2 linked regions of the Tamandua tetradactyla genome follow. The protein of the gene in region 2 purifies or fractionates together with the protein of the main gene of each other region. This does not show direct contact. Links are inferred from orthologs where the notes say so. Each region holds a gene or a part of one and is shown on either strand. Other genes may lie near its edges.

Region 1 (7,364 bases), on a different chromosome or scaffold from region 2:
TCTTTGGTCATACCAAAATCTGGAAATTCACTCAATATGCCATGCTCCCTCATCTTTACGTCTCTGCACATGCTCCTCCCTCAGTCCCTCTCCCCCACCTCCTCCACCACCAGGCTCGTTCATACTCACCCAGCAGTCAGCGCAGATCCCCCCTGGCCCAAAGGCGCTCTTCCCATAAAATGAAATTGACAGTTAGGGGACGGAGTAAACTCCATGGATGGAAAGACTGTGTCGTTTATTCAGCCCCAAAACAGAGCTTGTGAAATTAATTAATCTTCTAACTAATCTTTCTTTCTTTTTTTTTTTTTTGGGTGCATGGTCCAGGAATGGAACCTGGGTCCCCCGCGTGAAAGGCGGGCATTCTAAACACTGAACTACCACGCACCCCAACAGATCTTTCTACTCTACCACACTGGTATTTTAACGACAAAGTTATAGACATCAATTCAGCCTGAGTTGTTACTTTTATAGAGACATTCATTTTGATGGTTAGGCTGAAGAGGGACACAATGGCCACACTGCACCCCCAAATTCCCTGTCCTCCTGGTGGCTTTGGAGTTTCATCTGTGCCCACGAGCATCAGGCTCTCAGCTTCCTCCTCTAATACTTCTCTTTCACCTTCTGAACGTCAAGTCACCAATACTGACCACATCCACAGAGTAGTCGTGTTACTGCACTTATTAAAATAACGCAAAATATACAACGCTTAAATACAAGATTGTGGCTAGGCACTTTGATAGTTTAATTTCTGACGCCTCGATACTATAACATTTCTTATTTGATCAGTTTTACCAAAATGTCCCATTATTATTACATGTTGCACAAAACAAGAATTAAACACCCACAATCTTATTAGGTATCAATTTTCAAGGTAATAAGACACATTAAACTGAGAAATAAATACCAAGTTATATCATTATGGATCTCACTGGTAGGCATGAAAGACATTTTCCTCCAACTGAATAATTTTCCCTACCACTTTAAATACATTTACAATGATTTTAAGCACCTGAAACAATTATTTCAGTGAGTTATTTTTTCCCCCAATTAAATAACCAATGCCAAGTTGAAACTTAAAAAGAAGCTGGGTGTGGTAGTTTCAAGCTGCTGTGTACCCCAGAAAAGGCCATGTTTGTTTATCCCATTCCTGTGGGCGCAGACCTACTGGACTTGGATCTTCTGAACAGGTTATTTCAATTGAGATGTGACCCACTTCATGCAAGGTGGGTTTTAATCTTCATACTGGGGTCCTTTATGGGAGATGAAATTAAGGGACGTTCACAGAGAAACACCCAAGGAAGTTCCCAAAAAAAAGCCACAGATGGGGAATTCTGCCAGAAGTTGAAGCAACAAAACCCAGGAGAGAAGGAAGAACAGACGAGGCCATGTGCCTTAACTGGGATGTTTCCATGGCCTTAGAACTGTAAATTTGTAAGCTAATAAATTCACACTAAAAGCCAGTCCATTTCTGGTATATTGCATTCTGCCAGCTTTAGCAAAACAAAACACTGGGTTATTAAGAAATCATAAGGTAGTTAACTGAGCAGGGCCAAGAGGAAAGTAAAGAATAAGTTTAAGTGCCACAGGGTTTATCTGAAATGAGCACAACCAGAGACGTGGCTGATGAAACGCCCTCTAATCTGAAAAAGCTGGAAATGATAATGTACCTTTCATGTTAGAAAATTGTGAATAAGCTCAGAGAAAACAGAAACTCAAACACTTAACATGCAGTAAGAATGAGGCACAGAAACTGTGTGTGTATGGTATTTATTTCTGCCTAACCGGCTGTCCCTAAGAGAGAGTCCTGAACAAAGCTTTCCGATGACTAATCCCACTTGATGCACCTACAGTCCTCATTCCATTCTGTAAACGAGCAAACTGGCCCAAGAAAATTAAGTGGCTGGTCCATTAAGTGACTGAACCAACTGGAACCTTCTAATCACACTATAACCCAGAAAGTAGAAACTAAGTGTGGAATAAATGAATGGTTTTCTCATTCGTAGAGAAACACAAATCCGTGCCTTACTTGTGAGCCAAATTGCTATCAATAAGGAACATGGGGCTAGACGACTACAAATTAAGCTCCAAACGAGATCACCTACAGAGAGGTAGACCTCACCCCTTCAGGTTTACAAATGGAGATGAGACTCGAGAGATTATACGTGACTTGTCCAAGGTCACTCAGTTCCTAGAACTTTACAAGGAATGGCAGTTCACACTGATTTTTTACCTTATTTATTGCGTCCTACGTGAGAGTCCCTGTTTTTAGTGCTTTTATGTTTTCTCTCATTCAATCCTCACGACTCCATGAGGCAGGGGCTATTATTCAGGACAGTCAAAAGGGCTTAAGCACCCAGCACCTAATTTCTCTAACTCCGAGTCCCGGGCTCCATCCCGAGCCTTACATTCAGATGATGAGATGAATGAACCACAAGGCATGGAAAATTAAGTGCACAATAATCGCAGTACCCGCAAGAGCGAGCGTTTCCTGGGCTTGTCGGAGAATTACAATAGGCGCAGAGGCTTCCCAAGCGAGCGCCGGCCAGCAGCCGAGGGAGGCCGGGCGGAAGACACGAGCCAGGCGGGCCTCGGAGCCAAGGCGCCCGGAATGGACTCGCCTCCCGCCGGCTCCCCGCGGCCTAGTCCCCAGGCAGCCAAGGCCCGCCGGGACAGACAGGGTGGCCCGCCAACCACGGAGCGGAATAGGGGCCGAGGCGTCCAATAGGCGCGCGGGAACCGTCCCGCCCCCAAACTGTCAAGCAGCGCGTCCAGTGAACGGGCCCTAACCGGGTGGGAGGAGGGGAGCGGGGCCGGGCGGCCGAGGCAGAGCTCGGAAGGGCGACCCGGTCGCAAGCGCGCAGGCCGGCAGGCGGGGCGGGCGGAGCCCGACTGCTGCGAGTCTCGGCACCTCAACCCCGAAGCCAGCCCAGAGATGCGTCTCTGGAGCCGCGGGGCCGTACAGCCGTCCGCGCCACGGGCTCGGGGATGCGGGCCCAACCCCGGGGCCCCTCCAGGCGTAGTCGGCGGCCTGGGACCTCACCTTGAGCCGAGAGCTGCCGGACGCTGTTCACGAACTGCTCCAGGGCAGACGCCATGTTTCCCGCGGGTGGCCCAAGCGGCGGAGGCGGCTCGGGCGGGAAAAGGCGGCCGCTCTGGGAGGAGGGGCGGTGGCGATGCACCGGAGGGCCTCCTGTAGGGTTCGACGTCACTTCCGCCGGCTCAAGCACCGCGAGATCTCACCTCCTGGGGACAGGTTCTGTTTCCATGGAAACCATTCGAGGACTCCTCGCGGCCGGAAGTTCACTTTCTTTCCGGTCTCTATTCTGTGCCCGGTGGATCCCTCCCCGCAGCCGTCCCAACGGGCCGCGGGCCAGAGAGGTAACAGCACTCATAATTATGTACGTTTTCCGGGTTTTGCTGGGGATGGTCGTCCCGTACGCCCGTCTGATTCGAGCCTCTTCCGCGAGCCGAGCTGGGCGGACGGCAGCCTGTTTCGCCCCGGTGTCTGCCGCTCCGCAGCTCCCTGACAGTCCTGTGCAGATTCTGACGGCGGCCTCAGGGACGTAGGCGCTTACGCCTAGCCCTGATGAGATGAAAATGGATTGGTAGATTTGAGACACGTTTAGATGAATGATTTTAACATGTTTTATTCTAAAATGGAAATGCCTTAGAATGTTGTGTGTCAACAACTGGTCCCAAGACTTATTCCTTGCAGCGCACGAGACAGGTATTTTGACTTATAGGCCCATGGATGTACACAGCTTTTTTAAAAAAATTAATTAATTTATTAATTAAAATAAAATTTAACAAACGAACTAAAATATTAACGTGATCATTCCGTTCTACATATATAATCAGTAATTCACAATATCATCACTTAGTTGCATATTCATCATTTCTTAGAACATTTGCATCAATTCAGAAAAAGAAATAAAGACAGCAGAAAAATAAAACGAAAACAGAAAAAAAATTATACATACCATGCCCCTTACCCCTTCCTTTCATTGATCACTAGCGTTTCAAACTAAATTTATTTTAACATTTGTTCCCCCATTATTTATTTTTATTCCATATGTTCTGCTCATCTGTAGACAAGGTAGATAAAAGGAGCATCGGACACAAGGTTTTCACAATCACACAGTCACATTGTGAAAGCTATATCATTATTCAATCATCCTCAAGAAACATGGCTACTAAAACACAGCTCTACGTTTTCAGGCATTTCCCTCCAGCCTCTCCATTACATCTTGGTTAACAAGGTGATATCTACTTAATGCGTAAGAATAACCTCCAGGATAACCTCTCGACTCTGTTTGGAATCTCTCAGCCATTGACATTTAGTCTCATTTCACTCTTTTTCCTTTTGGTTGAGAAGGTTTTCTCAATCCCTTGATGCTGAGTCTCAGCTCATTCCAGGATCTCTGTCCCACGTTGCCAGGAAGGTCCACACCCCTGGGAGTCGTGTCCCATGCAGAGAGGGGGAGGGTGGTGAGACTGCTCATCATGTTGGCTGGAGGGAGAGGCCACATCTGAGCAACAAAAGAGGCTCTCTTGGGGGTGACTCTTAGGCCTAAATTTTAAGTAGGCTTGACCTATCCTTTGTGGGGTTAAGTTTCATATGAACAAACCCCAAGACTGGGGGCTCAGCCTATAGCTTTGGTTGTCCACCCTGCTTGTGAGAATATCAAGAATTCAACTTGGGGAAGTTGAATTTCTCCCCACTCTCACCATTCCCTGAAGGGGACTTTGCAAATACTTTTTTTTTTTTTTTTTTTTTTTTAAAGGAAAGACAGAGAGAAGGAAGGAAGGAAGGAAGAAAGGGAAACATTTCCAAACATTTTCTTGCTTTATTGTATTTTGTTTTTCCGTTTTTGTTACATGGGCTGGGGCCGGGAATCGAACCGAGGTCCTCCGGCATAGCAGGCAAGCACTTTGCCCGCTGAGCCACCGCGGCCCGCCCGCAAATACTTTTCCACTCACTGATCGAATCACTCTGGGATTCATCGAGGCATCACTCTGGACAAACCAACAAAATCTCATGTCCTACCTGAGATTCCAAGTACTTAAATGGTGTTCAATCAAACTATCTACATAAGTTATATTAGGAAATGCACTAGTCAAATATAAATTTTTGTACACAGCTTTTAATGAAGTAAAAACAATGTTCCCGCGAAGTAAAGTGCTACAAGAATTCCTAGTAGCCAGAGTTACTGATGACGCTTTAGCGTAGGTGGGCCCTTTAGATTGTGGCTCTGGCTCTTGAAGTGTGTTTCCCAGACTAGCAGCGTCAGCATTCCTTGAGAACTTGTTAGAAATGCAAATCCTTTGGCCCCATGCTTGACTTACTACCTCAGAAATGCTGAGGGTGTGCCCAGAAATCTGTTTTAACAAGCCTTGCAGGTAACTCTCATGGACACGGAAGTTTGAAAACCTCTGGATTGTGGCATAGGTGAACCACTTCGAGTTAGAGCTTAGAGTAAGTCACCCTTCCCTCCTCAAGAACAAAGTGATCAAAAGAGCTGTGATTCTAGGTATCACCTTGAATATATTCTAACTTGTGTTTTTTAGGGCAGTCATCTGTGATATTGCACAATTACCTGAAATGTACAGCACCACAGACTGAAACACAGCAGCTGATGGTGATGCTGTATTCAGTCATTTGTTCGTCCTTCGGACTCATAGTTTTCATCTAACGTGTGTCAGTCCTATGCCACATGCCAGGGATCTATGTTTGTGAACAAAACAAAGTCCCTGCAGACGTAAAGTTCCGGTTGAGGGAGTAAGGCTGCTAAGCAAGCAAATTATCAAAATAATTTCAGACAGTAATATGGGTTAGAAAGATGATAAAACGTGGTGATGGGGCATGGAAAGGCTTCTCTGGGACATGAAGGGTGAAAAGGAGCCCATTAAAGAGAAGATCTGGGAGCAGAGTTCCAGATAATAGTGAACTTGCTGTACAAAACCCTTAAAATAGAAGCAAGCTTGGTGTGTTTCAGGAATAGAGAAAGTGCTGGCCTGGCTAGAAGGTAGCGAGCGAGGACATCACTCTGTGTCTCAGCTGGGAACCACTTGCCCTATAGCTGTAGTAATCATCTCTCAGCCTTGCCCAGCGTTTAAAATGTGGAAAGCATTTTCAGATCCAATCAATGTTTGCAAGTGGAAACTTGAAAATTTTTAAAAACCATCATTGTTAAAGCTTCACTGAGATATGACCCAAAAGAAAGGAATCTGGCTCCCGGGAGAGAAAGGGTGGAAGTCAGTGTGACAGCAGACCTTAGAAGCCACAGTCCTGTGGCCACGAGCCTCGTTCACACAGTCCTTTTCTCTTTGCTTTGCTGTGCATTTCCCAGCCTCTCTGCATTCAGGTATGAATTATGTAACTGAGTTTGGGCCGATGGGAAGTCATACACTGCACCCAAGCCTAGCCTGCACAGCTCTCTCTCCACCCTGCCCACTGGCTGGGTGTCCACACCCACAGAGAAAATCACTGTCATAGCTCTCCTGAGCTGCCGTGACCAATGCCAACACAGTGGGTTGGCTTAAACCACAGGGATTTTTTGGCTCACGGTTAGAGGCTGGAAGGCTGGCTTCCTCCGGGGCTCCCTAGCGCGGTGGCTGGCATGTGATCCTGGGTTCCGTGGCTTTCCCGCCACATGGCGACATCCTCTGCCATCCCTTTGGTTCAGTTGACTCCTCCCTGCCAGGTCTGCATTTCTTCTGCTTACAGGATGATGGCCCCCTCCTTCAGTTGGGCCACGCCTTAATTAGAATAACATTTTGAGAATCTGTTTACGACGGGTTCACACCCGCAGGAGTGCGGACTGAGATGAAGACGTGTCAAAACCAGCTGCATGATCCAATCCAGCAAGTCTTGTGTTGAAGCCCCCAAGCTTCGGTCAGCCTAGACAGGTCCTGAGTGCCTGGGCAGAAGGAAGCCTTTCTCCCCACATCCCAGTTATCCTCTGCCATGTAGCAAACTGCCCCCCAAATCCGCAGCTTGGAACAACCCTGCACATTTATTTTGTTACCGTTTTGAGGGTTGGAAACCAGGCTTGGCGAGGTGGCTCTGGCTTGGGTTCTCTCATGGGGTTGCGGTTGGGTTACAGTGATCCCGAAGTCTGACTGGCCCGGGGTACGGGGCGGGGCCCTGCTCTTTGGGGTCGCCCGCACATGGGGCTGGGTATGCTGGCTTGATAAGAAGGCAGGATCCCCCAGAGTCAGTGTGCCGGTTTGAAACTGTTGTGCACCCCAGAAAAGCATGTTCCTCATTCAGTGTCATTGGGTGGGATCTTTATGATTAAGTTGTTTCCTTGGAGATGTGACCCACCCAGTTGTGGATGGGACCTTCTGATTAGGTGGTTTCC
Region 2 (7,981 bases):
ATGAGAGCCACAGGGCAGCTTTCTGTGGAGTCCTTACCCTCTCCCAGACTCCATGCAACCACTGCCTGCTATGTGACGTGGCCCAGGAAGGAGGATTTCCAAGTGCTGGAAAGAAGGCCCAAGCGCTGGTGGATGGAACAGGGCTCTGAGTTGAGCCTCAGCAGAGAGGCTCATGGGAGGGTCCCTCCTCTCCCACACCACAGGGTGCTCAGGGCACTCTGGGCACGCGGCCCTGCTCCCATCCTGGCACTGTAGACACCCAGCCCCTTTGCTGAGCAGGGCCTTGAGGACATGTTGTGCTGCTGGGAGAATCAGCACCAGCCACAGGGCCATGGGAAGCTGGTGACTACGGTGGAGTCTGGGCCTCAGTTTCCCCTCTGCTTCAGGAGGACCGATGTCCCCTGGGAGCTCCCCTACAGCTGCATGCAGGTTGCAAGGTCTCTGAGGACCCAGTCTATGTCTGAGAATTAGGCAGCCCAGAACACATGCCATCCCACTTCCCCCTGGCCCTGCCATTCTGCCCACATTGGGTTCTGCCCACCTACCCCTTCTGCAGAGCTCCGGGGAACTTCTGGGATCACAGAAATGTCCTCTGCCTTGACCCTGGGGTATGCCCTTGCCAATGTCCAAACCACATAACTTAAGGGGTGCCTTCTTGATAAGTGAAGCCAATCCTGCTCTACAGCATGTGCCGGCTCTGCCCTTGTTGCTTCAGCAGAGGTGAAGTGAAAGCTTTTTTCTAAAATTCTATAACCCCAATCTTGCTCATGATCCCTGCCACACAACCCCCAACTGTGCCACACTCCTGCCATGTGAACCTTGACCCTGCCCTGTGACCCTGACGCTGTCACCTTCCTCACTGCGGCACTCTGACCACCCTTTCTGCTGAGGGCCCAGCTGTGCGGAAGTGCAGGTTCAGCCAAATGCCTGGGTGCCTGGTCAGCCCTGCTGCCTCCAGTCCAGGCCTGTGCCCACAGGGGCCCAGGAGATGGGTAACCCATAGCTCCCCTGGCACCAGAGCTCCCAGCCCACAGGACTCAAGCCAGGAAGGACCTGTGAGTCTCCCAGGAAGGTAGTAGGCAGCTGAGTTAGGCACATCCCGATAGGGGGCACTAGACCCCAGCTTTGCCCTGGGGTGGGGGTCAGGAGGCCAAGCTCACAAACGGTGTTGGTAACAGACATTCCACCCTACCCTGGATGCTGTTCCCAGTGGCTCTGTGCACTTGCCCACCCTGTCCTATGTCCCCAACTCACTGGCGAAACACCTGAGTCACGCCACTGGGCCCTGCAGCCCAGCGAGTAACGTCCTAAACATGAGCAGGTAATTCCCAGTAAGGGGCCTGGAGGGACCTCAGACCCATGATCAAAGGGTGGGGCATGCCCAGAGGGGCTGCAGCCAAGTGAGGGCAACGGAGACACCCCCAAACGAGCCTGGCCCCAGGGAGCCTGAGAGGCAGGGGGCATGTACTCCCTGGGACAGACGCCTGCCATCCAGGGGCCCCTTGTCATAGGCCTGGCCTCTGGCAGTGGGCAGTGCCCCAATAACCACCAAGTACGGGAGAAAGCAGGAAAGGCACATGGCCACACCCCCGCAAGTGCCCCCAGACCCAGCGGTAGCCCTCAGGAGGCCCCTGGGTGGAACCTGACTGGACCCTTCCACCCAGGGAGTGTCAGAACTGTGCTTCCCCAGGCAGGGCCCCACTGGATCTGTCCCGCGCCGCCCGCGGGGGCGGGGAGGGTGAAAGCTGACCGGCCAGGGAGATTAAGGGCGAAGCACAGAGGTTAAAAGCCCTGCCCAAGGTCAGGCGCCCCAGGTCCGTACTGCTAGGCTGTTAAGGAAACAATCTTCTTGAAAACTGCTGAGTTTCCAAAGAAAGAAAAGGGTGAAAGCAACAGGGGACCTGGCCAGGCAGGCGTGCACGGCAGCGATAAGGAAGGGTAGCTTCCCCCTCCCAGCCTGGGAGAGCCACCAAGGGAGGGTCTCACAGACACTTCTCTCCCATGCACTAGGACGGGGCGGGGGAAATGGGTCGCAGGCCAAACAGCCCAGAATGCCAGCCTGGGGGACAGTCCACCTGTGGCTCAGGTCAAGGCTGCCTCTTCTGCCATAGCCCAGCAGGCCAGAAGGGCGCCAGTCCCCTCCCGCGACCGATAAGCTGGCGCAAACAAGGCCTTTTGGCAGCGGCAGGGTTCCCCTCAAACGGGATAAACATTACACCCCCTCAGCCTAGCAACAGCCAGCCAGCATGCAGGAAACCTGCTGTGGGCTGGGCCACCTCCCCAACACCCTTGAAGGGCCCAAATAAACTAAGTGCAAACTGGCTCACTGGGCAAGAGTTCCTTTAACAGCAGAAGAGAGAAAGGGGCGTGCCCCCTGCCCAGGGAGTTGAATATCACAGGCATTTTAATGATATCACACTCATTTTAATCAGGGTCCCACCTGCAACAACCTACCCCAACTTAAGTAAAAACACTTCTGCAGGCTGCCAAAGACACTTCTCTCCTCAGGGAGGATACAGATACATGCTTGTCAGCTCCGGTGTTTAAGAGAAAGGAGGGAGGGCAGGAAGGAGGGAGGGAGACAGAAGGGAGGGAGGGAGACAGAAGGGTAGGAGAGAGAGGAGAGAGGGCAAAGGGAGGGAAGGAAGGAGGGAGAACAGAGGGTGGGAGGGTTAGGAGCTAAGGGAAGAGGAAGGGAAGGAGGAAGGAAAGAAAAGAGGGGGACAGAGGAAAAGAGGGAAGCATGGAGAGGCAGGTGGGCTGGGAGAGGTACCCCCGCGGGCAGGCCCCTTCAAGTCCCCACTCACTTTCTCACGTTGGCCTCCCCGTTGGGGATCCTGCGGAGCTTCTTCTTCTTGAGGATCTTGACGGCCCTTCGGCACAGCGTCTCTGAGTCCAGCACCTCCTTCACCTTGCCGTAGGAGCCCTCCCCCAGCAGGTCCCCCATCAGGTACTTGCCGATGAGCTTGGCGCGCTGGCGGCGCGGCTGATAGATGACCTCGGCTGAGTCGATGCGGTGGATGAAGGTGTCCATGGCCACGGACGCCAGCTCGCCCTCGGCGAACACGCCCAGGCGCGGCGAGCCCCCCACGTCCATCCTGGAGGGGACGCCCGGCGATCCCCGCTCCCCGTGTCCACAGAGTCAGCGCAGAGTCGGAGGAAAAACAGCCCTCCTCGGCCAAACGATTGTCCTGAAGGAAGGTCCGCGGGCGCCCGGCGGAGCGCTCGACCGGTGCCGCCTGGCCCCGCCGTCCGGGCCGCCACGTCCACGTCCGCGGGCCCTGGGGAGGCCGCCGGGGCTGCCGGCCGCGCCGGCTCGTCCTCCAGGGCGTTAGCGCCTTGGCCCCGCGCGCCCGCGGCGCAGGCCAGCCTCCTCCGGGCCGCCCGTCACCCCGGGGGTCGCGGGGCCCCTCGGGGGCAGCCGCCGCCCGCCGACCCCGCGCCGCCCTCCTCAGCGCGCAGCGGCGCCCCCCGGCCCGGCCTGCGACCCCCGCGGCCGACGCCGCGCCTAGCGGCGGCCCGAGCCTCCCCGGGCAGCCCCGGCGGCGGGGCGCGGGGGGCGGCGCAGGCCGCAGGCCCCGGCCGGGGGGTCCCGAGGCTGCCGGAGCCCGGACGCGCGTCCCCCCGCCGCGGCCGCCGCGCGTGTACAGGAGGCGGAGCGGCGAGGGGCCCAGCCCATGCACGGCCCGCGGGAGCCGGCCGCGCCCGCCGCCCCCGCCGCCGCCCCGCGCCTCACTCGCGGGCGCCCCGGGCTGCCTCCCCCTTCCGCGCCCGACACGCCGCCGCCATCTTGTTTACCTCCCTCCCCCACCCGGCGCCTCCGCCACCGCGCACGCCCCGCCGCCGGACACGCCCCCTCGCGGCGCCAACGTGTCCTCCCGTTGGTTGGGGTTTCTTGCCCCGCCCCGCGTCCCGCCCCTCCGCGCCGGTGGATTGGGCCGTTTGGACCCGGGCGGGCGCCCGTTCGGGGATTGGCTCCCGCTGGGCCCCGCCCGAGGGCGGCCGTGGCTCGCTTATTGGCCCGAGGAGGCGCCCGTCACGGGGAGGGGGCGGCACGCGGGCGTGGGGTGGCGAGGCCGAGGTGTTGATCTCCCAGGGGACCCGGGAGGGGCACGCGGGGTCTCTTCGGAACGCGCGGGAGTGGGTGCAGACCCCGAGGACCGCGGCTCGGGAGTTCTCCAGACGCCTTCCTGGCCTCCACCCCCGGAACACCGTTAGGGGCGGAGTGAGAGGTCGAAAAGTAGCCCCAAGTGGCAGATGGAAGCAGAACGTCCTTCTTGAAGCGCCCGTGGGGGAACGAGGGGCGCACAGGGAACCCAGAGCAGAGCTGGGAGGGTCCCAGCAAAGTGCTTTCGGCGGAAAACAGAGATTGGCCGAAAAAGTCTGGGTAAGAGCGAAACGTCCGCACCCGTCAAGTGAACTCGGTACTTCCTGCTTCTCAGCGGTTTGAGAACAGGCAGGGTCTCCATTTCCCCGCGGCGGCCTCCAGGTGACCCCAGAGTCACCAGTGCTTAATCCACATGCAGCCACAAACGTCTACACCCGCCCCCATCGCGGCAGGGCTCGGGGCACTGTCCTCAAACCCACAAAACCCCATTTCATGGATGGGGAAACTGAGTCTCCAAGGAGGAGAAGCAGCTCAAGGTGCCGGACTCCTTAGAGGCAGATGGAGGATTTCCAGGTCCATGGGGGGTCTGGACCCTTACCGGTCAAGCGGATACCCTCAAGGCCCTCCCACTTGGGCCCTCCTAGGTTCTGCCACCCCCATCCCAAAGCTTACGCTGGACTTCTCTGCAGTGTAAAGGTTTGATCCAGGGCTGCTTATGTTTGTTTGTGTTTGGGTTTTATCGGGGTGACCTACATACGACGTAAGATCAGGGTATGTAGGGCCCAGCTCAGAGTTTGTTCTTCCGTTACCATTATCCTCTGTCCTCTCGCTTGCAGCTGGTCCGGGTTCTGGTCCCTTTGGCAGTGCCTGGTTGCCAGCCTCCAAAATGGTCCTGCCATTTACGTCTTTTTAGAGTCTAATCCTCCACCTAAACAGGAGAGCTTTTTGTCACCAAAAAGGTGTGCTGCAAGTGACAGAGTTTGGCTTGCAAGCATGGTCCTAAAAGGGGCTGAGGCTTCCACCTTGGCCTACTGGAGACCAAGCACCATGTTGCGGGGGGCTCCGGCAGCTCTGTGGCAAGGCCCCTAGAGCGAAGAGTCCTGGGTGTGGGACCTCTATTCTGCACCAAGCCTTGGAGTAATGCACCCTAGCAGACAGCGTGACTGCCACCTCCTGAGAGACTGAACCAGAACCTTCCATCCAAGCCACATCTACATCATGCCGTGCAAAAATCATGAGATAACTAACAATTATTGTTATTTGAGGGCACTACATTTTGGGGGATGATTTGTTACACAGCATTGCTAACTGATATACCATGTTTCCTAAAGGATGCCTGCCTCCCCACAGAACAAACACTAGATACTGCCAGAAAGACAGTCAGACAGAAAGACAGCCCCTGGGCCCATCTCAGCTGAAGTTTCTTGGGGGGAGGTGGCTGCAGCGCCCAAGGCGCTGATTGTCTGCTGGCAGGAGGGAGCCAAGAACCATGGACAGTGATGAGAACCTTCCAAGAAGGACAGGTAGGAAGAGAAGCATATCGGTGGGCCCTGGAAGAGTTCCGCATATGTTTAAAGGAGTCTTCATAGAAGCACTCAGCCTAAGCCAAGACTTGAAACGTGATTAGAGAGACTGATGGATGAGTTGGGGTGGGGTCTGCCCAGAGCCCCCCTTTACCCCGGAAACAGTGGGAGCTGCAGAAGGGGTTGCATTGACACATTTTGTTTTCTTTTACTTCTCACTCTAGTACAGGTTTGTTCCTAACTGAGCTCAGCTTCCTGGAAAGCCAAACCCGGCACTGTCTCTAGGCCTCCAGCTGGTTGTCACAGGTGGAGTCACAGGGTGGAGACCCCTGATAATTCCCTTTCCACAGGGGAAACCAAGGTGTTCAGTCACTAGTTAGTTCTCTGAGGCTTCTGTAAATGCACTGTGGGTTAAAGCACAGAAGCAGGAAACCAATGCAAGAATGGGGCCATGCAACATGGAACAAAAATCCTAGAATGAGCTGAGACTCAGCATCAAGGAATTGAGAAAACCTTCTCAACCAATAGGGGGAAGAGAGAAATGAGACAAAATAAAGTGTCAGTTGCTGAGAGATTTCCAACAGAGTCAAGAGGTTATCCTGGAGGTTATTTTTAAGCATTATATAGATATCCCCTTTTTACTTTAAGGTGTATTAGAGAAGCTAGAGGGAAGTACCTGAGACTGTAGCGCTGTGTTTCAGTAGCCTTGTTTCTTGAAGATGGTTGTATAATGATACAGCTTTCACAGTGTGACTGTATGATTGTGAAAACCATGTGTCTGATGCTCCTTTTATCTATAGTATGGATAGATAAGTAAAACATGGATTAAAAATAAATAAATAATAGGGAGAACAAATGTTAAATTGAGTAGATTGAAATACTAGTGATCAATGAAAGGGAGTGGTAAGGGGTACAGAAAAAAAATAGGGGGGACAAAGGTTAAAATATATTGTGTAGATAGAAATACTAGCTGTAAATGAGAGGGAGGGGTAAGGGGTATGGTATGTATGAGATTTTTTTCTTTTTATTTCTTTCTCTGGAATGATGCAGATGTTCTAAGAGATGATCATGGTGATGAATATACAACTATGTTAAGAATGTTCATGTTTGTATGTTGTTATGCTTGTCAATAAAATGAAAAAAAAGAATGGGGTCATGCTTCCTGGAAGGCTTGGGAGAGAGTCCCCCCCGGCCACGTCCACTTCTGGTGGTGGCCATCCTTCATACTCCTTGGCTCGAAGACACTTCACCCAGCCTCCAGCCTCCTTCCCTTCCTATGTGCCTCTGCCCTGAATGGCCTTCTCCCTACGTGCAAGGACCCTACTTCCAGATAAGATGATATTTCCAGATACCAGCACATCTTCTTGGGGGACACAACTCAACTCAAAGCAGTCACCTCCTCAGGGTCCCAGGCAACACCCCACCCAAGCTTGAGCTGCCATCAAGTCCACGTTTCTTTCCATCACAACCCACTGTCCCCTTGCAGGTGAATCCGCCATTGTGACGTCCCGCAGTTGTCAAGACATTCGCTCAGACAACAGGAATAGCAGGGCACGTCCTCAGGATGACAGAGGGCTTCTCCCAAAACTCATTGCTGAGTCCGCACTTCGGGGTGCAAGAGGGGCCACTCCCCCTGGCACTAGGAACAAGGCAGGGATGCGCAGTCAGATGGCTCAGGATTCAGCGTGGTGCTGGAGTTTCTGTCCAGTGAAGGAAGAAGAGAGGGAAGTCACAGGGCCTGGATGGAAGAAGTAAAACTGTCTTTATTTGCAGACAATGTGATTACGAGGGATCTGCAGGAAAGGTGCTGGAGCAAGTAAGCGAGTTTAGCACAGTTGCAGGATGTTGGGTCAGTACGTGCAAAAGTCAATCGCAGTTCCAGATACTGACAGTGATCTGTTTGGAGTAAAATTTTAAGACATACAATTCATCAAAGTACAAAAAAATACCTTTTTAAAAACATTTTCTATTGTGAAATAAAACATATACAAAAAAGCAATATATTTCAGAATACATTGTAAGAAGTGGTTATAGAACAGATTTCAAAGTTTGCTATGGATTACAATTCCACAATTTCAGGTTTTTCCTTCTAGCTGCTCCAAGACACCAGAGACTAATAGAAATATCAATATAATGAGTCGGCAGTCATAGTCATTTGTTACATCCTATCTGTGTTATAATTCCACCTTTTTCTTTGATCCTTCTCTCAGTCTTTAGGGGTATTTGGGCTATGCCCATTGTAACTTTTTCATGTTGCCAAGGGCTGTCGACAATATAGGATAGGGGAATGGAACTAGTTGATGCTCTGGAGAGGCTGGCCCCTCTGCATTTCAGGACTTATCTGGTCCAG

The links.
Region 1: the proteins of STK11 (region 2) and COPS3 purify together in Homo sapiens (affinity purification with mass spectrometry; 5 studies listed by BioGRID and IntAct, with this or other methods). This does not show direct contact. The link is inferred for Tamandua tetradactyla from reciprocal best matches to the Homo sapiens genes STK11 and COPS3.

Annotation. Positions count from the first base shown.
Region 1 is NC_135332.1:1,019,406-1,026,769, forward strand, and holds the start of COPS3 (COP9 signalosome complex subunit 3), read right to left. Parts: upstream 3,225-7,364; 5' UTR 3,096-3,224; coding exon 3,041-3,095; intron 1-3,040. UniProt on the Homo sapiens protein: Component of the COP9 signalosome complex (CSN), a complex involved in various cellular and developmental processes.
Region 2 is NC_135337.1:81,784,535-81,792,515, forward strand, and holds the start of STK11 (serine/threonine-protein kinase STK11), read right to left. Parts: upstream 3,266-7,981; 5' UTR 3,098-3,265; coding exon 2,808-3,097; intron 1-2,807. UniProt on the Homo sapiens protein: Tumor suppressor serine/threonine-protein kinase that controls the activity of AMP-activated protein kinase (AMPK) family members, thereby playing a role in various processes such as cell metabolism, cell polarity, apoptosis and DNA damage response.